7 linked regions of the Oryzias latipes genome follow. The protein of the gene in region 1 purifies or fractionates together with the protein of each later gene. This does not show direct contact. Links are inferred from orthologs where the notes say so. Each region holds a gene or a part of one and is shown in the gene's direction. Other genes may lie near its edges. The genes, in order: napa, napg, stx10, stx7, stx5, vps45 and use1.

Region 1 (4,050 bases):
ATTTACACAAACACTCCCAATCACATCTTGGGACAATTTAGAGGCATATTATAGGATGCAATACCAGGAGAGTACCAGGAAAAACAAAACAAGCTAAATTAAGGAAACTCTGCATAGAAAAAACCTGGCCAGGATTCGAACTCAGGCCTTCTCACTTTGATAGCAGACTTTTTAGCCCTCTTAAGCCAGTGATGATAACAAGTCAAGAGATCAAGTCAAATTTGTAATCTACAAACCAACTGGATAACAATTTTATCCCACATTAAAAGTCAATAAAACAATCAAGAAAGTGCTGTCTGCAAATCTGACTGAGATGTTAATTCTTCCATATTTGGTTTGTGTTCTTTCATAGTCCAAAGGCACCATTGTGTCATGGTGTCCCTGAAATGCAGTGGGACAAAGGATCCCTCTTTAGGGATGACACCCTGAAAAAGACTCAAGGCTAAAACCCTGTGACCCAACATGAAGTGTTGTAGAAATAAAAAATAACAATAAAGGAAACAAACGTTTATAAAAGGGATTGAAAAACAGACCAAGAATATATATTTAAAAAAAGTACGAATAAAGAAATAAAAAAATAGTTTTTCCCTTACTACATGTCAAATAAATTTAAAAAAAATTGTTGCAAACTGACTCCACTCTGTCACTGATGCACGAACTAAACATGTCCAAAGTAAACCATTTTCTAACCGTCAGAGAAAGTTTTAGAAATTTACAAAAGTTTTGGGGGACATTTCTGTTGTTTTTTTAGATGCAGAACAACATTTTACTTTGCAGTTCTACATAAGGGGGTTTTCTGTTGGGTACATATTTTTAAATCAGAATTTTAAGTTGACCCATTAAAAACCCCAATATTATCTCAAGAAGCTGTGTAAAATGTTTTTTTTCCCATCACGTTAAAAGCAAGACGCAAATGGTAAAGATATGAAAATTGTGAAACTGCTGTTTTGCAAGTAACACTATTGCACAATCCAAGACCCGACATTTAGGAAATACATAGTAAAAGTAGGAGTTATTTGTTACTTAGCATTTTAGATTTTTTATTTTTTAAGGGTCTTTTCATTTAGTCATGTTAATTATTTAATTTTGGTAAATGAAGGTGTGCAACAAACAAAAACATAAAGTTTTTCATCCCGTAAGAACAGATTGTAATTGGTATGTTTCTTAAAATATTACTCAAGGTTGGGGGAAATAGTATTAAGTGACACAGAAAAGTCTTATTTACAAAGAGTTCCTGAATGCAGCAGGAGTTTCCGTTCTCCCGTGTCACGTGACAGGGGAACTGCTGGTCTGTAACTGGTGATGTGACGACGCAGCTAGCAGCAGTTAGCAAGTTTGTTGACTTTTACATTTAGGTATTTGTCCACAGATTTAAGGGACAAGGCACGAAAATGGACAACAGTGGGAAAGAAAAGGAAGCGGAAGCTTTGATGGCGGAGGCGGACAAAAAAATAAAATCGTCGAAGTCGTTTTTTGGGACGCTGTTTGGGTAAGTTTGTCAGAAAGCTAGCGTAAGTGTTAGCTAGCTTTTCTAGTCTAGGGGCCAACAATGCGGAAGGTGTCTGACTAAGCAGTTATCACTCCGTTTGTATAGCGGAACTAAAGAATACCTTTAACTCTGAGTGGTGAATCTTTCATTTAATTTTAGTTTTGGGTTTAAATGATGCTGTTGTGTCTGTGATGTTGTTACGCCACCATTCCCGGGTTTTCTGCCTCGAATGTTTGTAAACAGCATTATTGTCATTCACAGCAATTGCCTATACCCGCTCTGTTAATGACTATACTTAAAGATTGTTGTGTTTATGTATTAACTTTAAATTAAACGGAAATATTGTTTTTGTCTCAAGTTCAAAGTGTACTTGTGCCGATGCTGCAGCACCACCTTCCGGAATAAAGGTGTACTGCAGATCACATGTCAGTCATTGGTTTACAGCCGCACATTTGTGTTTTCTATAAGATTTAAGGTGGTATTTACACTTAGTCTGCAGAGATATATTGCATATTTATGCAACACGGTTTTAACTTCCAATTTGTCTTTTTTTAAATGCGCGTGTATGTTATCTCACAGGGGTTCCTCCAGGTCGGAAGAGGCCTGCGAAATCTATGTGAGAGCAGCCAACATGTACAAAATGGCTAAAAACTGGTCTGGTAAGTGTGTAACAAGCCCCCCTTCTCCCCGCTGTTATCTGTAAACACCTTAATCTTGCAACATTTCTTTCCAGCTGCAGGAAATGCTTTCGCGCAGGCTGCTCATCTTCACCTGCAGATGCAGAGTAAACACGATGCAGCAACTAACCTCATAGACGCTGGAAATGCCTTCAAAAAAGCAGACCCCCAAGGTAATGTTCTTCATTTCTGTGGGTTTATATATTTATTTTTTAACTCTCAAAACCTGTTCTGTTGTTGTGAGAAATTACACTGCTTTATAAAGAGCTTGCTTCATTTATTTTTTTAAAATAATTTTTTCAAGAACAAAAAGGTTTTCATTCATCAAATGTGTTGCAAATCAAATAAATATCCACATAAATGTATGTGGACACGCATTGCCTTTTAGGGATGCAACTGTTCGTTTTCTTCCCTATTTGATTCAAACCTCCATTTTTGGGTCACGGTTTTGTTTTGGTTCGATATTTGGTGTGTGCATTGCAAAAACAACTACAAAAAACATAGAGAAACATTTTTTTTAAGTTTGCTAATAAGAAATGAAAGAAAAAGCCTTGATTTAGCTTATTCTAAGCCTGGTGAAATGTTATAAAACAATGTCAATAAATTAAAAATAGCAGATCACATGTGTTTGACACTTTCACTATAAATATATGCAAATATATGCTGCGGGGATGCAATATTTCATTTTAAATTGTGTAATATACAGTCTGGTTTTAATTGGATATATTGGGCATCCCCCATTTAAGAGCAGATCAGATGAAACGGGTGTTTTTAATGTTTTTTAACATGTTATTCTGACATTCTTCTGATCATGGAGGACTTTAATGAAGCAAATGTGCCATGAGAGATGGTCATGTGTACTGTGGAAAATTAATTTTTACTGATATGTAAATCTCCATGATATTAGATCTGTGTTCATCCGAACAGGCCCTGATAAAACACTGAGTAGTTAGGAATATGAAAGATCATAAATATCTGTAGCCAAAACCAAAACAGTTGTAGGGATATTACTGGAAAATGATTGGTTCCTCTGGGTTTTTTTTAATGCACAACTACCTCCATTTCCACTGTCTCCTCCTTTCCTGCATCAACCTGATATAATTTGTCTGACGGGCTTAGAGGAATACTGTGGGAATCTTATTTAGCAATAACAGGTACCTGTTGTTGCTGGGGGGGGGGCTAAAACTCCCATGGAGGATGGAGGAGTTGAGCTGCAGGCAGATGTGAGTTGTAGGGCCTATATATCATGCTATTGTTACGCCTTTCAGAGTAAACTTTATCCATATATGTGATCATATATTACCTTTGGCACACTAAAGAATTATTTTTTTGATGAAATATGATGTATTTTCACGGCTCTTTTTCCTACTGGAAGTAAGAATTAAGGAATTCATATTTTTTATTAATTTCCTTCTATATTCTTTCCCATGAAATTTAACGTTCGGTGTGTGAAGTCCTGACTTTACAATTGTTAGGAGTTTGATGGCTAACTAACCATCTGGTTCAGTCAGTAGTTCTTTATTTTGCTGGTGACATGATTGGACTTGTTGTCATGCTACAGGTCAACTCACACATTCCACCTTCATCATCGCTCCAGGAAAAGAATGTAAACGTTTCCATCAGCGTTGCAGATGCATCCTTTCACGTTTGGTGTCGTTTACATGCTATGCCCATTTACATCCTTATCCTCCAGTCCTGTAGCCACTGACTTTTAACTCTCATAATGTGCCACCCTTTTGTGTTCTTATTGGATCTGTGACTCTGTCTTTTGTTTTGTCCTGTTTTATGTTTCCTGCCTAGGGACTATGGATGCAAATTAGCATCATTGCTATAATCCAGCATGTTTACGCCTATCATTGTTTGATAGATGTTCATTAATGTGCA
Region 2 (4,048 bases), on another chromosome or scaffold:
GCTCTCAGAATCTTGAATTTAATAAACAGAGTTTTGAATTAAATCTAAGAAGCATGAACTTTGAATGCCTGCAAGCCACTTGCTGCAGTCAGTACTTTGGAGTAAAACATGGATTGGATCTAATAAAAAAGTTCTATTTCGGTGTCTTTTTGCCATCGAGGGTTACTGGAAAAGATCATTTTGTTAATGGAAGAACAGAAGATGAGTAAAAAGAGATTTTTTTAATTTAGAGTTTGCAAACTAAAGAAATACACTCTATGCTGAAGTTTGAAACTTTTATCAGATGTTCAGATGTGATTGAATTTATGGACCTATTCTGTTTTTGCTCTTTTTAACAGGTTCTTGTAGCATTTTCTGATGATGGAAGATATGTATAAAAATGCATTTCTGAGTATTTTTATTCCTTCAAATTGTGGTGAATCAGGAGCAGACGAAAACATGCCGTTTGAAAAAGCTTGTTAATGTTATGTTCAAACTACAATCAGCAGGCTATAAGCTCCCTGCTCTGCTCCATTCTGATTATCCACCGTCAGACCAATGGATCCATGAACGTCTTCATTTTCCTGGAATGCTGGATAACTCTGATACTGACCACCATTTATGTTGCGCCGCTAATGAGGTTGGGGGTGTGAGGGGCCATGAGGTAGCGGGAGAGCATGTAAACAGATGGATGATGGGAAATGAGCACAGGCTCACTCCATGACATCAGCGCGCCCACAACTCAGAGGTGCATTTCTGATCAACTCCTAGCGCCCTGCAGAAACTAGGACACAGGTTTATTGATTTGGGCTAAAAATTGCATAATAATACTTAAAAGACCTCTGGGAATGCTTTAAGAATAGATCAAAAAATAATTTGACTGGGACTTTAAATAATAGAGGTTGTCTTACCTCTCCATGCTGTTTTACAGGCAAGTGTAATCTTCTGGTTTAAAATAATATTAAAAGTGTTCCCATGCGCTAATCAGGGATGTTTTATCAAAGCCAAATTCTATCAACAACGTATGGCCAGTAATGTGAAAGTCCATGCCAAAAACTGTTGCCAAAAATTACAATTACACAAGTCACTCTAGCTGAGTAAGAATACTGGATTTTAATCAGAAATCTATCAATAAATTGAGTTATGAACCACCACTTAAAAAATAAAACAGTAGAACGAACAAATATTAATGTACAACTGTACTATACAATACAGAATCTGTATTGCAATATTTACATAAATAAACAACAGCTTATTCGGCTGTGTTGATTCGGGTGTTTTGCTTGTCCCTCGGCGGCACCCGTAGCCTGCAACATTCGATGACGTCAGCGCTGAGGAGGAGTTCCTGATGATCCAAACATCGCCGTACAAAATATTCCTATCCGTTTCTCGATATCAGTACGACTGTGATTATTTCACAGCATGGCTGCACAGAAGATAAATGAAGCTCACGAGCACATAGCTAAAGCCGAAAAATGGTGAGTTCCGACACGAATGCTGCCATTTCCGGCGCAGAAAGAAAAGACCAGTTTGTGATCCTGATTTAGCTAGCTAGCAGCACTGCAGGCCACTGGCTCAGTCTGACAGAACACGGTTGATCCCTGACGTATTGCACGGTTGTTAAATCTGTGCGTTTCTCCTAACACTCATGAGTCGTCTGAATTCGGTGACCGGGATTACCGGAGCCGTTTTTCACCGACTCCTCCTGTTTCTGTAGCTTAAAGACGAGCATGACGAAGTGGAAGCCGGACTTTGACAGCGCAGCGTCGGAATACGCCAAAGCAGGTGAAAGCCTCACGTCCGCAACCCCAGCAGTCCCAGCAGACGAGGAGGCTGACATGTCATGATCAATCAATCCCGCATGTGTTCTTGACTCTTCTCCTGCAGCTGTCTGCTTCAAGAACGCAAAGCAGTACGAACAGGCGAAGGATGCTTACCTGAAGGAGGCGGAGTACCACACGGAGAACAAGACGTATCCTCACATGTGGGGCTTAGCTTTTAGTGTCTTTGCTCCATTAACGAGGACACCTGTCTTGTTAATGCACCCTATCTCTACTGAAATGTGACAGTTTGTCATGTCATAAAATAAAAAGTTAAAGTCCCTTCATCTGTCACACCTACCTAGACATGTGACATTTGTTCTCCGCATTTGACCCATCATCCCCCTGGGGGAGCGGTGAGCTGCAGACACAGCCGTGCCAGGGAACCATTTGGTGGTTTAACCCCCCCAATTCTATGGGAGCATTTGTGTAGCATAATTAAAAATAAAAGTCAAAACCAGAAATGCTTTTTCATTTTCAAAATGTAACTGCATCAGATGACTCAAAATTTAAATGAAAAATTAATCTTAAAAACCGCTTATTCTGTGTCATAATTAAAATGAAAATGCAAAGAGGGGATTGCATTTTCATTTTCACATCCACCCTGTGAATAGTGTCGCATATTTCAATTCGACTTAGCATTTCCAGAGGGGAGGCGGGGCGATGACGTCACTGCTATCTCCGTGTGTCCGGTTGTTACGAGACTCATGCTAGGAGCAGTGTAGCTTTGTGTTAGCGGCAGAGGAGAGGGCTTTGTGATGGTTGTGAACTTCTGATGATTTTACACAGCTTATCAGGACTACGTAGCAGCATTTCCGCCTTCTGTGGTCATCCTTCGGACGCACTGTGGTACGTCAAAAACGTGCTAAAAACGGCTACCGGTCCGAAGACAAAGCTAGTCTGGGGGCAGTTTGGACAAAACGTTGTGCGTCCGAAGGAGGACCACAGAAGGCGGAAATGCTGCTACGTAGCTACGTTGTGTACAATCATCAGAAGTTCACAACCATCACAAAGCCCCCTTCTCTGCCGCTAACACAAAGCTACACTGCTCCTAGCATGTGTCTCTTCGCAGCCGGACACACGAAGATAGTACTGATGTCATCGCCCCGCCTCCCCTCTGGAAATGCTTATTCGAAATTATTATCGCGACAATGTTCGCAGGGTGGATGTGAAAATGAAAGTGCAATCCCCTTTTTGCATTTTCGTTTTAATTATGACACAGAATAAGCGGTTTTTAAGATTGATTTTTCATTTAAATTTTGAGTCATCTGATGCAGTTACATTTTGAAAATGAAAAAGCATTTCTGTTAATCCATTTTAATTGTCAAATTAGACATTTCTAAATGAATTTTGCTACACATTTACCAGAGAACTTTTTGAAAATGAAATGTCAAACACCATTTTCATTATCATTTTAATTAAGTGACAGAATAAGCAGTGTTGAAGAAGAAAAAGAAAAAGCGGTTTGGCGGATTGCTTTTTCATTTTAATTTTGAGTCAAAAAATGCAGCTTCATTTTGAAAATGAAAAAGCATTTCTGGTTTTGACTTTTAGTTTTAATTATGCTACACTAATGCTTCCATACGGGTGCATACCCGATCTATATTTCTGACCTTTTAACTCCCTACACTCCTGCACGTTCTTTGAGGTCCACTGAAAAAAATCTTTTATGTGTTCCAAAAACTCATTTTAAAACAAGAGGAGACCTCGCCTTTCAGGCAGTTGCTCCCCGACTTTGGAACGACCTCCCCCTGTCTCTGCGCCAGATTGACTCAGTCGAGTGTTTTAAAGCTCAAGTTAAGACCTTTTTATTTAGGAAAGCTTTTAGCTGACTTTTACTTGTGTTCACTTTTGCCTGTTTGTTTATTTCTATGCCTGTGTGCGTTTTATTGGGTATCGCTACTGATTTTATATTGTTTTTACGTTGTGAAGCACTTTGTGAGTCGTTCTCTGTGAGAAGTGCTATATAAATAAAGATTACTTACTTACTTACTTACTACAATCCAAGCTCTTAATACTGAGTGTCAAGCAGGGAGGCATTCATTAGGTCCCATTTTTAGGGTCTTGGGTATGTCTCAGCCTGGATTTAAACTCATGACCTTCCAGTTACAGGGTGGACACTCTACCACAAGTCCACTGAGCTGCATAAAGACGTTTATGGACTAAAAAAACACAAGTTCAATAATCACAATCATTGCTATATATGATATGATATTATTTGCTTTAGGACATTTTAAAAGGGAAAAAAA
Region 3 (4,126 bases), on another chromosome or scaffold:
ACTTTTATCCTTTGAGAGTGAGCAACAATATTAATTTAAAGTTGGGTCCAACTGCAGTAGTTAGATTGAATCAACTTAAACTTATTAGTTTGAACCTAAGTACATTAAGTATGACCAATATGATTCATTTTTGTTCAAGTAACGCTGTCTAATCATGTGGAAATCATTTCCATAATTTTTTTATGTTCATTCAAAGTGAACTTTTTTTGAGTGTAGTTTACCTGCTTTGTTTTGTCCTTATTCAATAAAGGAACATAATTTTACACATTGTGTTTTCATATTTTAATGGAATGTGTATTATTTTATATGACAGAGTACTAGGGCCCACTAAGGCAAAAAGGATAAAGTCATAAATTTACGAGGCTGGTTCTTTCTGCAGAAAAGCAACATATTCTTTTTACAGTTTTGATAGTTATGAAAATGTGATACTTCATATTCTGGCACATCAGCATGTCTTCGTTTATGAAACCATACTGAAGGACAATTTCACGAAATGCCCCACATCTGTCATTTTAACAACTGTCCTCCTTTAAAACAACTGGTTACAATATTATGACTTGTCTTTTTTTCCCTCTGTGGCCCTAATATTCTATCATTTTATATATAGCCTTATAGTCTATGGGACACTGTAAATTATCTAATGATAGCAACATCATCTAAAACTCATTATTTATCCAAAATGATTGAAATTAATGATCACGAACGTTTAAATAATGACAGCGGGTCTAGTTATATGTGATAACAATGTATAGTGAGCAATGAAATAACTATTGGTTTCCATTTGTGGCGACTGCTGACTGACATTAGGGATGAGATTAAATAGATCCTGGAATTTAGCCTGGTCTGGAGCAGGCTAGCTCCACAGAATAAATCTCCATGGTAATTTATACCATAACATATCCTCCTGCCCCCTATCCAGCTTTAGTGCAACCGGATTGAGGATCAATTGAGCCAGGATCACCAAGATATCCCTGCTTAATCCCTTATCGTACTTTTGTGCAACAGGCCCCAGGTTATGTTCAGAGCATGAGTTGCTATGGGAACTAAGCATACACTTAAAATACCTCTGGTTTTGGAACCGAAAGCTGAGGTTATACGTTTTCCTTAGCCTAAACCTACCGTGGTAATTCACATAACCTGCTTTTTGGAATACCCCCCAGGTCAAATAGGGACATAGCCTACATATTCGTTTTATCGCGGGTATAACCAGATTCCACCGTTTTATTTTGTTGTTGGTTTTTGTTTCTTTGTTTTTCTGTTTGTTTGTTTTGGTCCTATCGCTTTGTCATTTCTTCCTCAGAGACAATACTTTTCCTGTGTCGTGTTTACGTTCCAGATGACGTCATCACGCTACAAGAAACATGCGCAGGCGCACGGCCTACCAAGGAAGGAAGCAAAATGTCGCTAGAAGACCCGTTTTTCGTTGTGAAGGGGTGAGTTGAAAGAAACCGAGTCAAAAATCAACTTTATCCTGAGAATGTTGTTAAATGTGTAACTTTTTTAAAAAGAAAAATGTAAAATATGTTTTTGTGCTTCTTGAAAAGTTATGAAAGTTAGCGCTGTTAAAGCGAAGTAGCACCGATGCTACAGTGAGTGAAGAGAGGAGAGGCGTTCAGGCTGTCAGTGTCAGTGTGTTCATGTTTGAGAAAAATGTTCTGAGAATTAAGGGGTCGTTCACTGAACGCGTAGGCTGCTTTCAGAATAAGGAGACGCAAAGGAATGCGTCATTTTAACTAGGAGAACAAGAGAAGCGAAGAAGCTGTTTTTAATTGAACAAATAACTGTTTGTGTTGTTGTTGTTGTTTTCTGCTCTTCAGGGAGGTGCAGAAGGCGCTGTCCCGTGCCCGGAGTCTGTTTGATAGATGGGAAGAACTGTTGCAGGATGGGACACAAGTGAGCCTTTAAAGACTGTTTGGCATAGACATAAACATCAAACAACAGTAGGGGTGTAACAATTCATTTCAACAACTATTCGATTGATATTTTAATTTGTGGCTAACGATACAATTCAATAATCAATATGAACAATTCGATTCGATTTGATTCACTGATCTAAAATCAATCCAGGACATCTTTACCCAAATTAATTCAGTCATCGTGACTCAGAGATAAATAACTGGGTACTGAACAGTGCAGGTGAGGTTTTTCAGATTTGTTGTTTTCCTTACAAGATAATTAAGTGTAAATTTAATATGTGTACAAACAAACAAGTAAACCAGAATTAATATGTAATCAATTCACATTTTAGTTTGATAAAATTCCGCCCACTGCTGTTTTTCCACATCAAAATAATCCAAACAGAACATTATTAGAAAATTCTACCACACTGTATGGTCACATGTCTTTGCAAAATTCAAAGTGTTTCCACACATTGGACTGTTATGATGGTTTGATCATTTTTCGTTGCCATCCCGTGTGTGTTGTCTGTGTTGTTTTAGTGCGCTACGTTTTTAGGGGATTTATTTTTAGAATATTCTTAAAGCACATTTTCTTATCTACTGCTGCACAACAGTGTGTAGTTGCTGTACAGAGGCGTTTTTAAAGCATATGATTGCATTTACACGTGTAGTTAATTTTTAATTGGATTCTCCACCAAAGTGGTCAAGGCTATAACTGATAAGAAAATAAGTCATAATGACAGAAAATGTCATCATTGACTTGACTTTCGTGCATTTTTATTCAAATTAATCTGCTGCAGCAAGAGGATCTTATTTGACACAAGGTTTATTTTATTTTGAAAGGAATTTTTATGTGCTGCTGTAAAAAACAAAAGAAATGAAAGATGTTTTACATTGAAAAAAACAGTACTGTTATTGTTCAATTATTGTAAATATTTTAAAGCTACAAATGAATGGCTTAATGGCCACAAAAGCAAAAATACGTTATATTTTTCTAAAATTGAAGTGGGAATTTGCGTATCTCGCTGGGTTTTTTTTAATAAGAAATTAAATCAAATGGCTCTTTGTGTGTTAAAGGTTGCAGACTCCTGGTTTACAGGAATCCCAAGCTAAAGTTGGGATTTTAACTGCTGTCTTGAATTTCCTTTGGTTACTGTGTCAACCAGAATTCCTCAGAGTCTCAAAGATTTGACTCCATACACTTAAATAAACAGCTTTAATGAAAAAAAGCCTTTATTTTTTGTAAAACTTAACCTTTATTTTCTTAATTTGAAGTGTTTTAACCTACGTCGTACTTTCCTTGTCATCTCAGGTGAGTCGAGATGAGCTGGATTGGAGTGCCAATGAGCTGAGAAACTGTCTGAGGGCCATAGACTGGGATCTGGAGGACCTCAGTGAAACCATCAGTATCCTTTATGCACAGACAACTCTTTAACGCCCCACTCCAATCATCTTTTGATCTATTTTCAAAGCGTTTCCAGTGGAGTTTTAACTATGATCATGATGTTTTTAGCCAAAATATGAAAAAAAACAGTTGTTTTCTAGGACAGTGTTTCTTCAGAGCGGCAGGAGTTCATCAGAAATTTGGCAGAACTGTAGGTGCGGAGCAACCATGCCCCCTCGTTTCTCTCCTCGTCGCTGAGAGCTCGGAGCAGGGAGCTTGTTACCCCACCAACGGATTTTCTTTGTAACACACAAGCTTCTTTTTCAAACTGCATTTTTTTCGTCTGCTCCAATCTTACAACCATTTGAATTAAGAAATACTCTGAAATGCAATTTGAAGCTTTATTTTCTTTTTCTATGTCCTCAATCATGAGAAAAATTGTTAAAAACAGAAACACCATTTTCATGGGAGTGGATCTTTAAACGTTATTGTAGGTCAACTAGCATCAAATGGAGCTAAATAACCCTCTGTTTCTCTGTGTTGAAGGATAGTCTTTAATGTTCTACAGTAGTTTTTGTCATCTTGTGAAACAAATCAACAGTTAATCCATCAAGTTGTCTACATTTATTACTCCTATGAAGGAGACATGTTTCCAAGTTTTTAATTTTGTTTTTTTACAAGAAACAAAATTTAGTACATTACATTTTTAAAAAATTGTTTTAGTTTTTTTTCAAATGTTGAATTCTTCCTTGACCAGCTCAGGCATCGTAGAGTCCAACCCAGGAAAGTTCCGGTTGGGTGAATATGAGCTCCAGGAACGGAGAGACTTTGTGGAACGAACCAG
Region 4 (4,046 bases), on another chromosome or scaffold:
ATCCAGATTTCCACTCCTCTACTGAGTGGAGACGAAGGGTCCAAAGGGGAGAGAACTGCAGGGGACCTCCACCTGAGGAAGACCTCCACCTGAAGAAGACCTCCACCTGAGGAAGGCCTCCACCTGAAGAAGACCTCCACCTGAGGAAGACCTCCTCCTGAAGAAGACCTCAACATGAGGAAGACCTCCACCTGAGGGATACCTCCTCCTGAAGAAGACCTCCACCTGAGGAAGACCTCCACCTGAGGAAAACCTCAACATGAGGAAGACCTCCACCTGAGGAAGACCTCCACCTGAGGAAAACCTCAACATGAGGAAGACCTCCACCTGAAGAAGACCTCAACATGAGGAAAACCTTAACATGAGGAAGACCTCCACCTCTGTCTCCTTTCCCCCCTCCTTCTCAAATATGTGGCCTTCAGACTCTGTCATATTTTTTGAATAAACATCATTTTGCTCCAGCGCGCTGAAACTATGTTTTAGTCCTTTATTGTTAATGTTATGACTTGTTTTTGTGGAGTTGACTCGTTTCCATCCTAAAGGACCGGGGCGCAGCAGAACCCTGAAGCCTTGTCTCCAGTCTTTGGTGGGAGTGTCCCCTGGCCCCTGCGGCTCCTGCGGCTCTTGGCTCCAGCGGGGCCGGGCCGTGCGCGTCATGTGACCGGGGAGTGGCTGCGAGTCAGGAAACGGCGCAGCTCCAAGTCTCAGCGCAGGTAAAGTCCAAACGATCCCAGAAACGAACCGAACCGTTCTAGAGCAGGTTTTGGTCTCGATCCAAAATCCTACCGCGGGTTTCGGAGCGCTTCACTTTCTGAGGACAAACGGCGAGATGTCCCGAACCGGGCTGGGGGCGGGTGGGGGGGCAGTTGTGTAGAGACCGGTAGTTTCATGAGCTAAACGTCACGTTGACGCTTAAAGTTCGGGGTTTTATAAACAGAAACTCCGGGAGAGAGCAGCCGTCACGGAAGGACACAGACCGTGGTGTTCCGAGAAAGTCCTCTGATTTCCGCATTTGCGGCTGCTGGAAAGACTGCAGCCCCACCGACCGACCGCTGCAGGCGGCAGGCTGCCCCGTAACGCACGGCGGAGGGGGTCTTGACGGGGTCCTAAAAACGCGTCATCATAGCAGACGCTGGAGCGCCGCTGGTCCCGGAAACGCGCGTGAGCAACTGCCTGACCCGCGTCAACGCCCCCCCCCCCCCCCCCCAACTGGCCCCCGATCAGAGCAGACTGGGCATGAGCCCACGTTGGTCCAGCATGGATGGGGGTCAGGGGTCAGCTGGGCTGGTGTTTGCTGCAGCAGCTCTTTGGTTCTGACCTTCAGCGTTTCAGAGTTTCAGGATTTGTTCTGAGAGGAAAAGCAACTTTCCTTCTTTGTGTTTTCACTGCCTCCATCACTCAAAGCTGTGAGGAAGTTTCCATCATCTCCATTTGTTATCAAAACGTTGGTTTGACCTCAGACTGTTGATGCTTATGTCAGACAAACGCTGATGATGGTGTAGTTTTCCCTCCTGATCCTGTTGGTACAGAGTAAGCCCACCTTCACTTCCCGTCATCCATAGCTTTAGCGGCACCACAAGAATGCTGCTCAATATTGGAGCTGTCCATGGATCTATTTGTCTGCAGGTGGGGGCATCAGAATGGAGCAGGGCAGGGACACTTTGGCCTGGCCAGAGTATTTTCTACATCACTAGTCTTCATCACAGTCTTTTTTTGTCTGCTCCTGATTGACAACAGTTTTGGGTTTGGGTTTTGCCAGCACCCGTCCTGCTAGTTAAAAACCTACTCCAATGAAAATGGTGTTTGTGGTGTTTTTACATGTTCTTGTAGCATTTTCTAATGATGGAGGACATACATATATATAGAAAATCAAGCTTAAAACTGCATTTCTGAGTATTTCTTTCTTCAAATCGTTGTGAATCAGGAGCAGAAGAAAAAATGCTGTTTGAAAAACCTCTTAGTTGTTACGTAAACTACAATCAGCAGGTCACCAGCTCCCTGCTCTGCTCTATTCTGATCTGTCAGACAAACAGATCCGTGAACGTCTTTGTCTTCCTGGTCTGACCTGGAATCTGGATCAGAACTGGACGGATGATAGATCTGATGTTGATCACCATTTTTGTTGCATCACTAATATTAGCTTGAGGTTGTGAGGGGCTGTAAGCTAGCAGGGGAGAGTTGTAAAAAGATGGATGACGGGAAGGGGGGGTGTTGTGCTTTTCGCCAACAGTCCCGCCCACACCTTAGAGGGGAATTTCTAATGAATTACTCCCAGTCCGCAGAAACTATGTCCTAGAAAACGACAACGTTTTCTGATTTAGTCTAAAAACAGCAGAATCGTAGTGAAAAGACCGCTGGGAACACTTTGACAATAGATCATAAGATGATGGTTGGGGGACTTTAAAGGTTAAACATGCAGTTTGTATGAAAGCAAGACATAAATGTGTCTTTCTGTGTGAACTCAGCTCTCATCATGGCCTACCAGGCTGGGATTCAACGGGAGCCCGCCGCTTTGGTTCAGAACATCAGCTCCAACATCCAGAGGATCACACTACTGAGTAATGCACACACACACACACACACACACACCCACACAGACCTGTGCACATGCTGAACCCCACTGGACCCCCAGCATCCTCACTCATGGATCTGTGTTCCAGCCTCAGAGCTGCAGAGGGCCGTGACCCTGCTGGGGACGGAGCAGGACAGCAGCCAGCTCAGACAGACGCTGTGAGTTCTGACCGCCTGCTTGATCACACATGCAGCCAAATGAGTTCAAACCGACAGCCGGCCTGTCTGTGGACGGTCACCATGCACACACACACATACGTTTCCCTTGTTCCTTCAGTCAGTTCATTTGTAAAGACTCCTGAATGGCAGGAAGCAGACTGTCTTTATTATTTTAGCATCTAATTCATTCATCAAAACAGAAAGATAACTTTAAAAAGATGTTCTAAACACATACATGTTCATATACACACATTGGAGATGCAGGTTGTTACTAAAGTAAGTTCTATTCTTATAACAGTGTTTTACTTGAATGGGATCATTTGTCCCTGTTTTAAAACAGTTCCATTCAGTGGGTTTAAGGTTCAAAAAGTAGTTTTCAACCTTTAGAATAGTTTTTTTTTACTCTGTACTCAGCTAGCTCCTGAAACCCGAGCATTTTCCACGTCAGGAGTAATGGATTTGTAAGATTTCTGTTTCCTCGAGTGAAACGTTTCACAGATGCTTCCCTCTGGTTCTCAGTCAGCAGAAACAGCAGCAGGGGAACCAGCTGGCCAAGGAGACCGACCAGCTGATCAAGGCCTTCACCGCCCTCCCCGTCGGTCCCGATCAGGTACGAGGCCCCTTCGTCCCACGCACCGATCACATCGAACCCGGTCAGGAGTTTGTGGGAATTGATCAGCTGTGTTTGTGTTTTCAGAGGCAGAGGAAGCTGCAGAAGGAGCGTTTGCTCAATGACTTCTCTGCTGCGTTGAACAGTTTCCAGAAGACCCAACGGCAGGCCGCCGACAAGGAGCGGGAGTTCGTGGCCCGAGTCCGAGCTGGCTCCAGGCTGTCGGTTCGTATTCGCCTTCGTCATTTCTGGGAGTGCTGTGAGCGAGAGCTTTCCGTGCACGCTCACCTCATACTCACACGTTCCACAACCAGGACCATCCGGGTTCTTTCTGAACAACACTGCCATGGTTTCCCGGTTTCAGCTGTTCTGGGCCATAATGTACCATCTGCTCAGAGTTTGGCTGAACGTTCAGACGTAGACAGGTTATTCAGATGAAACCCTCCAGCTGAGGAAATGAGAAAAGCTTCTTCCAGTGACAGTGTGTCTGGGTTTATAGGCGTGTTCAGGATGGAGTGGGTGAGTGTGAGCGCTGTGAGGAAATGTTTCAGATGGTCAGGTGAGCAGATGCACCTGTCCCAGCCTGTTCCAGACCCAGCATGAGCCTTCCGCTGGTTGGGGGGCAGATCTCTTTATGTTGATTCATTGATGGTTGTGGTTCTTGCTGGCATTCAAACATCTCCATAAAGTAAGAACAGGCATTGTC
Region 5 (4,261 bases), on another chromosome or scaffold:
CTGGAGAGGTGCTGCCCTCCTAAGCCCGAGGCCTCTACAGGAGCTTCCAGAGGTTCTGTGGGAAGACCGAGTTTAGACACCAGACCATGATCAATTAGGCTCTGTTCGGCTCCAGAATCTATAAGTGCCCTGAAAGCATGAGTTTGGGTTTTACAGCATATTCTGACAGGAATGCACAGGAAGCTTTGATTTTCCTGAGTGCTGAGGTTGCCCCCCCGTGACCTGTCACTCAGCGGGGGGTTTTGGGAATTTAAACGCAGAGTGCACTGTGAAACTAAATGTCCATGGGCTCCACAATAAAAACATGAACCCTCCTCTTTTCGCCTCTGTCGTTCTTCTGCAGATAGTTTAGAATGATCTCTGTATAGGTCCCTCAGATGGTTTGGAGCTTGCGAGAAAATCCATTCTGAGGGGCGACTGGGCTGTGATGGTAGAAGGGGCCGGATCGCTGATGGTTTTCTTCGGGGTCTGTTGGCGATCATGACGTCGCTCGGTGAGTCGGATGTCCGAGCGGAGGGCTGCTGAAACGAGCTCTTCAAAGGAGTTAGTTTCAGGCTGAGTACAGAGATGGTCTTTAATTTCTTCATTCAAAGATTGATAAAAAATGCCCTTTAAAGCCAGATCTGGCCAGCCTGCTTCGACCGCCAGAATGCGGAGTCAATGACGTGCTCACTAACAGTCCGGTTGTGTTGTTTCAGGTTAAGTAATTTACGTGTGGCTTCTTCCCGTTTACGGGGTTGGTCAAAAATCAAACGGAATTCGTTTAGGAAGTGTTCATAGCGAAGGTGACTAATAGGGTTAGCAGAAACAAAGGCTTGAGCCCACCGAAGAGCTTTCTTCCGGAGAAAATTTATTATAAGGGTGATTTTACTGATATCAGAGTGATAATGCCTGGGAGCCTGCTGGAATATGAGTTGGCATTGAAGTAAGAACCCGCCACAGGCTTCTACGTTGCCTAGGAACGGTTCAGGCTGTAACCGGAAGTTTTCGGGTGAGTTGACAGGACCGGAAGCGGAAGCTGCATTGTTGCCGGAAGACGGAGTAGAAGCTCCTATAGCAGGGTTAGCATGTCGCTCGGTTAGCTCGGAAAGCGTTTGGTTCATACCTCTGATGCGAGAGATCGTGTCCTCTTGGACTGTAGTGACGCGGGTGACCGCACTGGAGAGGAGTTCCAGGAACCGACCTTGTTGGGAGACAATATTTTGTAAATCTTCCGGGCCAGCTGGGTCGGGGTTTTGGCTAGTTGTTCGTTCTGTCATGACTTGTCAAAGCTAGACAGACCCAGACGCTGAAACCCAGAAGGAAGACAGGAGGTGAGTGAAGGTAAATAATAGATTTAATTTTTCCAGCGGATGAATTTGTCCTGTTGTGGCGGGGAATGGCAGGAACGGCAACTCCAGATGAGAGGGTGGATCTTGACGTGGCTGGAGGTTCGGCTGAGGCCAGAGCTGAGGCCTGATGTATGGAGCGTTGAGAGGAGGTAGGTAACTCCGGGGATAACTCCGCTTGGGCTGAAGCTGAAGCTGGCGTCCACTCGTGGGATATGTAGGTCCTGGACATAGAAAGACTAGAGTTTAGACGAGGGTAAAGATACGTAACAGGAAAACTTGAAAGAGACCAGACAAGCACCATCAGGGGCAACGAACTAGCGTTGAATTCTGGTCCTGGCGCTCCTTAAGTAGGTCTGGCAGGTTGATGAGATGAGTGAACGCAGCTGGGACGAATCAGTGGCCAAGCAGAGAGGGGAGGGGGAAGATAGCTGACAGAGGCCCCATGACAAGGAGTTCACTAAAATTCACCTCTGAGCTTTTGGCAGGACTGTTGGCATGAAGTAAGCCTGCCCTGACATCATCCCTTTGTTTACACTCTCTCCCACTAGCCTACAGCCCCTCAGAACCCCAACCTAACATTACAGATGCAACAAAAATGGCGAGCAATATCGAAACTATCCTGCCGTACAGTTTTGAGCCAGATCTCAGCTCATACAAGGAAAATGAAGGCGGAAATAGATCTAGTCGTCTACAAGTGGATGCATCAGAATAGAGAGGAGCTCAGAGCTTGTGGCCTGCCAATTGTAGCACCTATGTCACTGCTTCAAGCTTTTTCCAACAGCATTTGTTTTATCTGCTCCTGATTCATAACGATTTGAATAAAGAAACACTCAGAAATGCAGTTTTGATCTTAATTTTCTTCATAGATGTCAAAAAAACGCCACAAGAACATGTTAAAAACACCCAAATCAGGATTTTTATTGGAGTGGGTCTTTAATGTGAAGCACAACTGACTACTATATAATTATTGGACGAATACTGATATAAAAGTTAGGCTCAATCATTTTTTCTGACATATTATTGACATATATACTATTTAATACCATAAAACAATCCAAAAAGCACACAAAGGGAGATTTTCTGAGTGGTTTAAAGAAAGGTGTGACATATGATGGAACGGATAAGGGAAGGTACGACGGTACAGGGTTCAGACGGGTGGAAGGCTGGGGATCTGGGGCTGGAGGCATACTTGTGGTCTGAGCATGCTTGGGCCTGTCAGAAAAAGGATGCAGGTACCAGCAGGAGGTTGAGAACATCAGAGAGCAGCAAGATCGTATCTTTCTCTTTCCATGCTGTACCTGAGTGTTGAATCACCTGAGGAAGCAGCCCATCCTGTCCTTGTCCAAATGTCTGTTCTGTCTTTTTGCTGGGAAAGATTCAAAATGGGTCTTTCAATTATAAAATTTCATGTCATTGGTACATGAGGTTTGCTTTTATATTTCTTATTTTTATTTCATTATCAGTGTTTTGCCAATTAGAAAGACATTTTGTTTGAAAGGGCATAAGAACAAAAACATGAAGTCATATTTACAACTTTTTGTAAATGCATCCTTGACATACTTATTGGAACTTCATTTAATATGTAAAACTTATACACACATTCTACTGCCAGGATGCATCTCAGAAATTGCTGAGATTACTAAAATTACCAAATATAGCCAATTAGTCTCTAAATCCACTTATTCCTGTTCAATGCCATCGTCTACCCAACCACTGAGGAGGGAAGGTAGAGTACATCCTGGACAGTTTTCCAGTCCATAGCAGGGCAACACGGAGACAAACAACTACAAACGTTCACACCCAAGGGACTATTAATAACCACCAATTGACCTACGAAGCATGACTTTAAACTGTGGGAAGAAATCAGAAGAAACCTACGCATAAACGAGGAGAACATGCACACTCCACACAAAAAGGTGCAGCAGGGTTTTGACCCAGAGCCTTCTCCCTGTGAGATGAGAATGGCAACAACTACGCCAGCACCACCAACGTATTAGTAATAAATATGACACCTATTTTTTTATAAACGTCTTAGAAAAAATACAAAAACAAAGCTTGTGTTTAGGCCCCACTACTTATTGGACCGTTACAAAGAAATGGATAAACATAACGTTTGAAACGTGTCCCTTAACTCAATGCTTTCTTAACTCGAAATAAGTAAAGTGAACTGGGTCCCTATTATTTTTTATTGTTTTATTTATATGTTTTATTGTTTATTTTAATGCTATTTTAAAGGCCTAAAAAGTATATAGAAATCACAAACATGTCATAACATGTATTTGAGAACACGTGTTGAACTTCAAGTCATGTCTGAAGAATACCAAGGAGAGGACCAAAATAATTTTGATCCATTAAGATAATGAATGTTTTTATAACTTGGTTCTTTGTGTTGTTTACATTTTCTGCACTTTTAAAGTCCCACTCCAATCATCTTTTGATCTATTGTAAAAGGGTTCCCAGTGGTATTTTAATTATGATTATGCCGTTTTTAGCCCCCAAAAAAACCAACGTTGTTTTCTGGAACATGGTTTCTGCAGAGCCAGATGTCAGCTCAGTTGAGGAAGCCAAAGACGCACTTGTATATAGTTATCTGCAAGTGGACGCATCAGAATGGACCAGAGCTGGAAGCTTGTGGCCTGCTGATTGTAGCACAACTACAAGCTTTTTCCAGTGGTATGTTTTCATCACCTCCTGGTTCACATTTGAATTAAGAAGTACTCAAAAATGCGATTTTAAGCAGAATTTTCTTTTGATATGTTCTTCAGCATTAGAAAAATGCCACAAAAACATGACTTAGGCCTTATACAACACATGTAAAGCAAGGCAATTTCATTTGCATATCGTTTTATGCAAACAAGGGAAATTAAAAATGCTTTGCAGAAATAAAATTGTTTTAGCTACATACAGCAAAGTAAAAAAAAAAAAACTAT
Region 6 (3,965 bases), on another chromosome or scaffold:
AGGACCTGGCTGTGCACGATGCTAATGTGATCATAATATACTGACATTTATAGATATCTATTCCTCCGTTTTAAATAGTAGTATTTAAATTTGAGAGACGTATATGTTTATTTAGCAAGCAAAATCTATAAATATACAGGTTTATTTAGGTTTCTTCAGCAGACAATGGTGATCAGTCAAACTAACCATAAATACAAGAATGTGACATTGTTGTGGTTTTAACATTTGTGCTTTAAGTAAAAACATTTTTTGATTATACATTTAGTGTACTTATTAAGAGTTTTTGTCGTGTTGTTGCAGAAACCCACACCTTAAGTCCTATCAGTTTAGGAAAAATAATAGTTATTAAACTAATAACACATGCAAATGTTAATATTTCATTGTTAACATTTTTAGGCTACGTTTAAAATAGTATTTTGAAGAAATCTATTTCATGTTTCTATCTTGTTGTACTTTATTTTGGAATCTGGACAGTATTAGCATCATGCTAACAATTGTGAGCCTTTTGTTTTCAACTAATATTTAGTCAGTGGTAATGTCTATTGGCAAAATATATGCTAGATTTAGTCATTTTTACTAGAAAGAAAAAAATCAATGTGTGTTACTTATGGATCAAACAACAGATGACTTTTTACTTTAATTTGCTATTTACGTTTTTGGCCTTCATTTATAGTTGATACTATATGAATTGATTTTTTTGGTAGGATTTAAGCCAATGTATGTCCATATTATAACATCTATTGCTTTAAAACCTGCCTTTAATTAGATATTTACAAAGTAGGCTCACTTTGTTGGCAAAAGGAAGCTGAGAGACAGGATCAGAGGAGGATAAAGGATTATGGAAAAGCTAAGGTTTATGGATGTAACTTAGTAAAGACCATAAAGGCAGTTAGTGTAAGTGAAAAACATCTGAAAACATCAGCAATCCATTGAAAGAAAACAAGAAAATTTAATTGTATGTTTATTTAATTGAAAACCTTAAAGCTTTAAATGATTTAAATGTTGCCAAAATTCCAAGTTTTAATGTAAAAAAAAAAACCCGCACATGTTAAATTAATTCTTCCACGAAAAACGAAGAAATGAGGAAAAAACACCATCGTTAACATTTTAAAACAAGTCCCAGAAGAACTGCTCGGTTCGTCCCTCCCACTTTACAACGCACGACGTGATGACGTCACCAAACCAGGAAAAGACTTTCAGTGTTGTCACAACAGCTCAGTCCTCCTCATAGCACCCCAGAAAATCCCTCAAACGGAGCGACACAGACTCTTGGAGGCTGCTGCTGTTTTTTTTCTTCCTGGTTGATTCGTTTTCACGGTTGTTGTGCGTCAGCGAGGCCATCATGAACGTGACGCTCGCGGTGAAGCAGTACATCTCGAAAATGATCGAGAGCAGCGGGCCCGGAATGAAGGTGCTGCTCATGGACAAAGAGACGGTGGGACAATCAATGACACTTTTACTCCTGTCGTTCTGTCATATTATACTGTTGCCTCACGTGACTATTGTCCTCCTGCTTCCTGTGAGATGTTGTCACTCCTTTGTTTCACTTGGTATTTGTTCTCTTATGCTAACACAGGAGTTAGTGTACAGTTTTAATGATAAACTTAAACAAAAGTAAATAAATGTAAACGTTAATGGCTTTGTTTTTCAAATGAGTCATGTTTGTAAATAAGAGCATTCCAGATCCAGACCGCAGCATCCTCTCCATGCTGAAATTCCCTCCAGTCAGGCACCGGACGGTCAACAGCTGACCATACTGGAGATGAAAACAAGATTTAACAGCAACTGGAACCACATAAAAGCCACATATTTAGCTCTGTTGCTCGTCTCACTAAATGCATATTTCTTTTTATTTTTATTTTTTGGCTATGACATGCAGTTTGAACTGAATCTACCCGTGTTGTGTGTCAGACCAGTATAGTCAGTGTGGTGTACACGCAGTCCGAGATCCTGCAGAAGGAAGTTTACTTGTTCGAGCGGATCGACTCTCAGAGCAGAGACAGCATGAAGCACCTGAAGGCCATTTGCTTCCTCCGTCCCACTAAGGTACAAAACCAGCAGACAGTTTGTTGTTTTTTGTGGAAAGTGTCTTAACGTTCTGTCCTGTTCTGTGTGCAGGAGAACGTTCAGCATCTAATCCAGGAGCTGAGGAGGCCCAAATACAGCATCTACTTCATCTGTGTGTTAAATGTTTATCTGTTGAGAGTTCAGGCAGTCAGTTATTTTCTTTTGCTTCCAGAATAAAAAAAAAATATTAAAGCAAAAAACTCAAAATAACTAAAAATGACTTGACGCAAGAAACAAATGATTAAAAAAGATTAGATGTATGCAAAATGAAATAAGACTCCTCACTAAGCTCCTATTTTCTTGTGTTTCAGACTTCAGTAACGTGATCAGTAAGAGTGAGATCAAAGTTCTGGCTGAGGCGGATGAACAGGAGGTGGTGGCTGAGGTCCAGGTGAGCGTCGGCTCCTACTTGGTGTTTTAAATCTTCAATTTATTGGACATATTTCTCCCCTCATTACAATCCATCTGTACGTTTCAATAACTGGAAATAACCCTTTATTTGGTGTCTTAGCTGTTATTGACTGTGTAACAAAAGTAACTATTAAGTGGCAACAAATCCTTTTAAAGACCTACTCTGATGAAAATCATGTTTGTGGTGCTTTAATCACGTTCTTGTTGCATTTTTCTGATGACGGAGGACACAAATTAAGAAAATTAAGATTAAAATGGCATTTTTTAAGTATTTCTTTAGTCTAATTGTTGTGAATCGGGAGCAAAAGAAAGAAAAAGATCATAAATGCTACTTAGAAAACACGCTGGGCGAGCCACATACACAAACTAATGGTCAAATAATTCCATGTATGTCTTCATTTTTCTTGTCCGAGCTGGAAACTCCAAACGGTACGGCTGAATAGCTCCGATATCGCTCGCCGTTGTTGCTACAGTGTTAAACTGGGGTGTGAGGGGCTGTAAGCTAGCAGGACAACATGTAAACAGGTGGATGATGGCTCCGCCCACAACTCGGAGGCGAATTTCACCACAGGAAACACTTTTGAAATGCATGAGAACCAGAGTGGGACTTTAAAAGATTAGAATACCACAGTTACTACATCAAATTGCCCGTAAAAAAAACTTCTGTTCTATAACAAACACCAGAAATGATGACAGTCTGGAACAACATCAGTGGATGCATTAATACGCTTCTAACTCATTTGTTTATCATAAACACACTTGGAACAATCTTATTTTTTTTTACATCAAAGTTTTTATAAAAATTCTGCATCTCAGTGTTTTAGGTTGTATTTCTGCAGCTCAGAAAGAATCTTAAAGTTCAGATCCAGGAAGATCTTTTTGTGTTTTTCCAGGAGTTTTATGGAGATTTCATCGCTGTGAACCCTCACCTGTTCTCCCTCAACCTGCAGGGAGTCGCTAGAGTAAGCTTTCCTTTTTTTAGCTGCTTGGCCTCACATGACAGATTTGGTTTGCTAAATGAGGATAAAAGTGCATCTCTTTGTTCGTTCGTCAGGGGCGGAGCTGGGAACCCTCCATGTTGAGTCGCTGCACTCAGGGTCTGACATCCGTTCTTCTGGCTCTGAAGAAATGTCCAATGATCCGCTACCAGCTGTCCTCAGACATGTCCAAACGCCTCGCGGAAAGTGTCAAGGTTTACAGAGAAATGACAGCCCATTACCCCACATTCTCACCAAAATGACATTATAATCGGAAGTTTTCAAATCATTTTTAGAAAGAAGTCTTAAAAAGCGGAACTTTAGCCTTCATACTTTGCTGTTTTTCACTAGTAATTGTTCAATAAAGGAAAAATTCAATACTTAAATATTTATAAAAAAAGTACTTTGGATTGTTCTTCATTTAAATAATGTTAAAAAATAAAATTTATAAATAAAAAAAGTTGATTTAGTTTTAGTTTGATGATTCTCTAAGCAGCAACAGTTTGTCAC
Region 7 (4,037 bases), on another chromosome or scaffold:
ATAACATGGTGGTGTTTCATCAGTTTGGGGTATTCTGAGTTTGCCTTTGGTGTAGAAAAGACTTTATTTTAACATGTTAATTGGTTTTTTAGGTTTTTGCTTTGCTTCCAATTATTTTCAAAGTAAAAAGGTCATTGAAGACATTAATGCAGAATAACCGGCTGAACAGGATTTGTGGAGTTCAGGTAAGTCTCTGTTTTGGTTCACTGTGTTTAGAAAAACTCCCTGAAAATATGTCCAACACAAGAGGCCCTCAGTTCTGGACAAGACAAGTTTAAAAAACAAAAAAAAAAAACTCCCTGAATTCTGCCTTTTTGAACGGTGACCTTTATTGCACTTTTTCTGCAAAAAGTCACACTAAACATCCATTACTAACAGAACCTTATGTGTGATTAATCCATATTTGTCTTTTATACTATGCACGTTTGAAGTATTAAGAAGCTGTACACTGGAGTCACTGAACCGGGTTTTTTGCCAAGTCAGCAAAATACTCTGAGAAGTACTTATTTAAATATATAAATTATTTTAGTCATATGCATGGACTAGTGAGTACTCACATCGCAAAAAGTAGTCTATTCAGGTATACTACGAGCATGCTTAGTTTACTACTAACTAAGGCCGTATACTTGAACTTTACTTTTTATGTACTATCTATATATTTTGTAAACTTAAAATATTCCAATTTAGTCTGAAGAATTCAGTTAATTTACTTCCTAAACTACCCACACATGGTAAAAAATACTATAAACATATATTTTATACATGGTATAAAATGGTATGAAATAGCTTTACAGAATACTTGCTATACTTTTACTAAAGTATATTTAATTTAAAAAAAAAACAAGTGTATTACTTTTGGCTCTGTTTTTTTTTTTCTAACCTCTAATCTCTTTTTGGTCTGAAAGGGAAAATTGGAAAATTCAAGCGTCCAGAAATGCTTCAACATTTATTTTAAAACACGAAAAGTTTATTGCAACATGAAGACTTACAAAGAAACAAAACAAAAGGCTTCCTTCCTGTTGTGAACATAGAAATACATCCACAGATTATAATATTTCTATCTAAAATACATCTACAGAGGAAACTTTAAAAAAAATTATTGATATATTTTTCAGTGGTAACAAAGTGTGTAGAGATTTAGAGAATTTAGAATTTACCTTTCAAAATGAAACACCCCCCCCCCCCCTCCTTAGCGGTCTTTTCCTGTGACGTCAGATTTCCGCGACCGTGTGTCAGCGTCAAACATGGCTTCAAGATTGGAGATTAATTTCATCAGATTGTTGTCTCGCTGTGAATCTATAGCGTCTGAGAAGCGAGGGGAGACAGAATGGAGGCTAGAGAAGGTAAGGAAGTCTGAAATTATGGGATGTTTTAGCAGCAGAACTGAATAGTGGGTGTTGTTGGGGTTAGCTGTGCAGCTATTAGCCGCTGTTAGCCACGTCGTCACTAAAACCAGACTGGTTTCTTTGAGCTGTAGTTTATGAGTGCTGCACTGAATTACTTTAGTTTAACCAGATTTCTTAAGGAAATTTGCAGAGTATGATACACATTGTGCCTAAAAATGCCAACAGTCATTTAGTAGTTTATTCGCGGGAAAACATTCATTTGTTTTTTTCTTTCCTCTTTCTTAAGTCCTCGTCTACATGTGCAGCTGTTTACACCGTTCATTCATTTTTCATCTTCTAATCCGTTTGTTCTCTTTCGGGGTCACGGGGCTGCTGGAGCCTATCCCGACCTCTCACGGGTGAAGACAGGTCGCCAGTCTGTCATAGGGCCACACTCACACACCCACGCACTCTCACAATCTCACACTCACACACCCATGCACTCTCACACTCACACTCACACACCCACGCACTCTCACACTCACACACCCATGCACTCTCACACTCACAATCACACCTATGGATAATTTAGATGGACCTGTCAAGCATGTTTCTGGACGGTGGTAGGAAGCCGGAGCTTGCTCCTCTTCTGTTGTTTTAGTGCCAAACAGTCCATTTTGTGTCTTTAGTTCAGAAAAAGGCTTTTCTTTCACATGTCGTATTTTTCTCAGGTTCCGGCTCGTCCTGGTCGTGTTCTCAGGGTTCTGGTCTCCAGGTCGGCTGCATTTTAAAGGTTGATCCAGAATCTGTTTGGCTGATCTTCAGTTTCAGCTGCTGATGGAGAACTTAGGTTAAAAATGTCCTGAAAACGTAAGCGGTGTAGAAAAAAGAAAGAAAGATGAAGTGAGTAATATGTGAGAAGATGCAAATGGATGAGGAAGGTCGGCTGATGTTCTGAAGGTTCCGTACCTTTGCCGACATAAATATCTGCTCGCATAGCATCCGGTTGTTAAACTTAATTAACCTGAATTCTTTAACAGCAGGTCTTCTAGATGAAATGTGAAAGTGTGGCTGACCTGAAGACCAGAATTCTGGGATTTTTCTAGAAAGATTCAGACATCAAACTCTTCCAAAGTGTCGAACCCAAACATTTTCTACTGCTTCTTTCCTTCCTTATACATATTTTTCTTGTCTGTTTTGTTTTTTATTGCCTAAATAATTATTTTTGTCTTTATAGTTTTTCGCATATTTAGATTTAAGATTGAACTCAAATGCTGTTTTTAAAGTTAAGTTATAGTTTTATTGCAACGGCGGCTGTGTCCCCGGGGTGCCGGCTTCCTGGGCCCGGCGGTGCTCTCTCCGCACGGTGGGGGGGTTCACATTACATCTGAGCCGGGGGTGTCTGGTCCCTGGGGGGTGGGTTCTGGTCCTCGCTCCTGAGTGCTGGGCCCCGCCAAATTTCCAACTGTGGCCGAGCCTGGTCGGGCGATATTTATAACACCCCTTGTGGGCCCTCTTTCTTTCCCCGGGGTTCCCCCCTCCTGGGCGGGGGCGGCGGGCCCCTGCCTCGCTCCTCCCTGGACCAACCGTGGGCCGGGCGGGTGGCTACCTGGAGTGCGGAGCGGGTCTCCCTTGGGGGGTCCTGGCTCGTACCTGGGGTTGGGGCGGGGGGTTGCCCGGAACTCCTGGGTGGTGGTGGGGTGCTCGTTTGGGGCTGTGGGCGTCCTTCTCCGGTGGGGCCCTGCGTTGGGTTCTCCCGGCGCGGCGGGGGGGCTGCTCTCCTGGTTGGGCTGGGGCGGCGCTCTCTTTCCCTCCGCGCCTCCCTGGCCTCTGGCTCTGGGGGCCTTGCGGCGGTCCTGCTGGTCCTGGCCTGGGTGGCGGGCTTGGTCGCCCGGGCGGCGGTTGTTCCCTGCCGGTTCCCGTGTGGCGTTGGGGGGATTCCGGCTGCCGCTGCTGCTGCGGTGGGGGTCTTGGTGTGGGGATGGCTGGGCACTCTCCCTCCTTCTTTTCACATTCCACCATCCATTTTAGAAGAACATAAACACTCACCTGAGCACAGGTGTTAGCTCACCTTTGCACTAACAGTTTGCATGACTGAAATATTTCACACTAGTTGGTTTAAAGGCATAAGTATGCGTGTGAACACTATCTGTTTTGTGTACATGTCGACAGGTGGACATTTTTGCAGCTAGCAGGTGTGTTTAATACATTTCAGTGTGTGTGTGGACAGGCTCCGCCCCCTTTTTTTTTTTTTTTTTTTTTTTTTTACTACTACATTTGAACCTTACCATAATGATTAACAAACAGTAAACTTGTTGCTGTATGCTGCTTCATGGTCTTATCCCCCTTCCCCTCCTATTATCACCCCCTACCCCCCCCTCTCTCTATCGTCCCTCCCTCTTCTTCCCCTCTTTCCTTTTCCGTCCGGTCCAACACCAAAGATTTTCAGACATGTTTGAAATTAATAAAGTTTGGCCTCAATTACAAAGGGGGTTTATTCAGACATACCTTTGGTTTGTCTGAAGATTAATAACCCCTGTTGTTAAAATAAAATATGTCCAACACAAGAGGCCCTCAGCTCTCATCTGTCTGCCCAGCTGTTGGACAGGACAAGTTAAAAAAAAAAAAAAAAAAAGTTATAGTTTTAAGCTAAATAGACAAATCTCTGTTTTTTTTAGTACGTTGGTGCTCTAGAGGAGATGCTGGTAGCCT

The links.
Region 2: the proteins of napa (region 1) and napg purify together in Homo sapiens (affinity purification with mass spectrometry; 3 studies listed by BioGRID and IntAct, counting the BioPlex papers as one, with this or other methods). This does not show direct contact. The link is inferred for Oryzias latipes from reciprocal best matches to the Homo sapiens genes NAPA and NAPG.
Region 3: the proteins of napa (region 1) and stx10 purify together in Homo sapiens (affinity purification with mass spectrometry; 3 studies listed by BioGRID and IntAct, with this or other methods). This does not show direct contact. The link is inferred for Oryzias latipes from reciprocal best matches to the Homo sapiens genes NAPA and STX10.
Region 4: the proteins of napa (region 1) and stx7 purify together in Homo sapiens (affinity purification with mass spectrometry; 4 studies listed by BioGRID and IntAct, counting the BioPlex papers as one, with this or other methods). This does not show direct contact. The link is inferred for Oryzias latipes from reciprocal best matches to the Homo sapiens genes NAPA and STX7.
Region 5: the proteins of napa (region 1) and stx5 purify together in Homo sapiens (affinity purification with mass spectrometry; 3 studies listed by BioGRID and IntAct, with this or other methods). This does not show direct contact. The link is inferred for Oryzias latipes from reciprocal best matches to the Homo sapiens genes NAPA and STX5.
Region 6: the proteins of napa (region 1) and vps45 purify together in Homo sapiens (affinity purification with mass spectrometry; 3 studies listed by BioGRID and IntAct, with this or other methods). This does not show direct contact. The link is inferred for Oryzias latipes from reciprocal best matches to the Homo sapiens genes NAPA and VPS45.
Region 7: the proteins of napa (region 1) and use1 purify together in Homo sapiens (affinity purification with mass spectrometry; 3 studies listed by BioGRID and IntAct, counting the BioPlex papers as one, with this or other methods). This does not show direct contact. The link is inferred for Oryzias latipes from reciprocal best matches to the Homo sapiens genes NAPA and USE1.

What each region holds. Positions count from the first base shown.
Region 1 is NC_019871.2:5,028,618-5,032,667, reverse strand, and holds the start of napa (alpha-soluble NSF attachment protein), read left to right. Parts: upstream 1-1,250; 5' UTR 1,251-1,391; coding exon 1,392-1,489; intron 1,490-2,068; coding exon 2,069-2,148; intron 2,149-2,222; coding exon 2,223-2,339; intron 2,340-4,050. UniProt on the Homo sapiens protein: Required for vesicular transport between the endoplasmic reticulum and the Golgi apparatus. Together with GNA12 promotes CDH5 localization to plasma membrane.
Region 2 is NC_019875.2:4,622,009-4,626,056, reverse strand, and holds the start of napg (gamma-soluble NSF attachment protein), read left to right. Parts: upstream 1-1,248; 5' UTR 1,249-1,401; coding exon 1,402-1,457; intron 1,458-1,696; coding exon 1,697-1,764; intron 1,765-1,866; coding exon 1,867-1,951; intron 1,952-4,048. UniProt on the Homo sapiens protein: Required for vesicular transport between the endoplasmic reticulum and the Golgi apparatus.
Region 3 is NC_019859.2:26,813,350-26,817,475, reverse strand, and holds the start of stx10 (syntaxin-10), read left to right. Parts: upstream 1-1,326; 5' UTR 1,327-1,398; coding exon 1,399-1,433; intron 1,434-1,817; coding exon 1,818-1,893; intron 1,894-3,210; coding exon 3,211-3,304; intron 3,305-4,044; coding exon 4,045-4,126. UniProt on the Homo sapiens protein: SNARE involved in vesicular transport from the late endosomes to the trans-Golgi network.
Region 4 is NC_019882.2:21,987,407-21,991,452, forward strand, and holds the start of stx7 (syntaxin-7), read left to right. Parts: upstream 1-1,246; 5' UTR 1,247-1,261; coding exon 1,262-1,406; intron 1,407-2,465; coding exon 2,466-2,558; intron 2,559-2,660; coding exon 2,661-2,730; intron 2,731-3,249; coding exon 3,250-3,340; intron 3,341-3,427; coding exon 3,428-3,565; intron 3,566-4,046. UniProt on the Homo sapiens protein: May be involved in protein trafficking from the plasma membrane to the early endosome (EE) as well as in homotypic fusion of endocytic organelles. Mediates the endocytic trafficking from early endosomes to late endosomes and lysosomes.
Region 5 is NC_019868.2:11,883,641-11,887,901, forward strand, and holds the start of stx5 (syntaxin-5), read left to right. Parts: upstream 1-1,461; 5' UTR 1,462-1,480; intron 1,481-4,261. UniProt on the Homo sapiens protein: Mediates endoplasmic reticulum to Golgi transport.
Region 6 is NC_019869.2:4,532,289-4,536,253, reverse strand, and holds the start of vps45 (vacuolar protein sorting-associated protein 45), read left to right. Parts: upstream 1-1,165; 5' UTR 1,166-1,342; coding exon 1,343-1,435; intron 1,436-1,911; coding exon 1,912-2,046; intron 2,047-2,118; coding exon 2,119-2,179; intron 2,180-2,378; coding exon 2,379-2,458; intron 2,459-3,371; coding exon 3,372-3,440; intron 3,441-3,532; coding exon 3,533-3,670; intron 3,671-3,965. UniProt on the Homo sapiens protein: May play a role in vesicle-mediated protein trafficking from the Golgi stack through the trans-Golgi network.
Region 7 is NC_019862.2:32,661,347-32,665,383, forward strand, and holds the start of use1 (vesicle transport protein USE1), read left to right. Parts: upstream 1-1,237; 5' UTR 1,238-1,244; coding exon 1,245-1,343; intron 1,344-4,003; coding exon 4,004-4,037.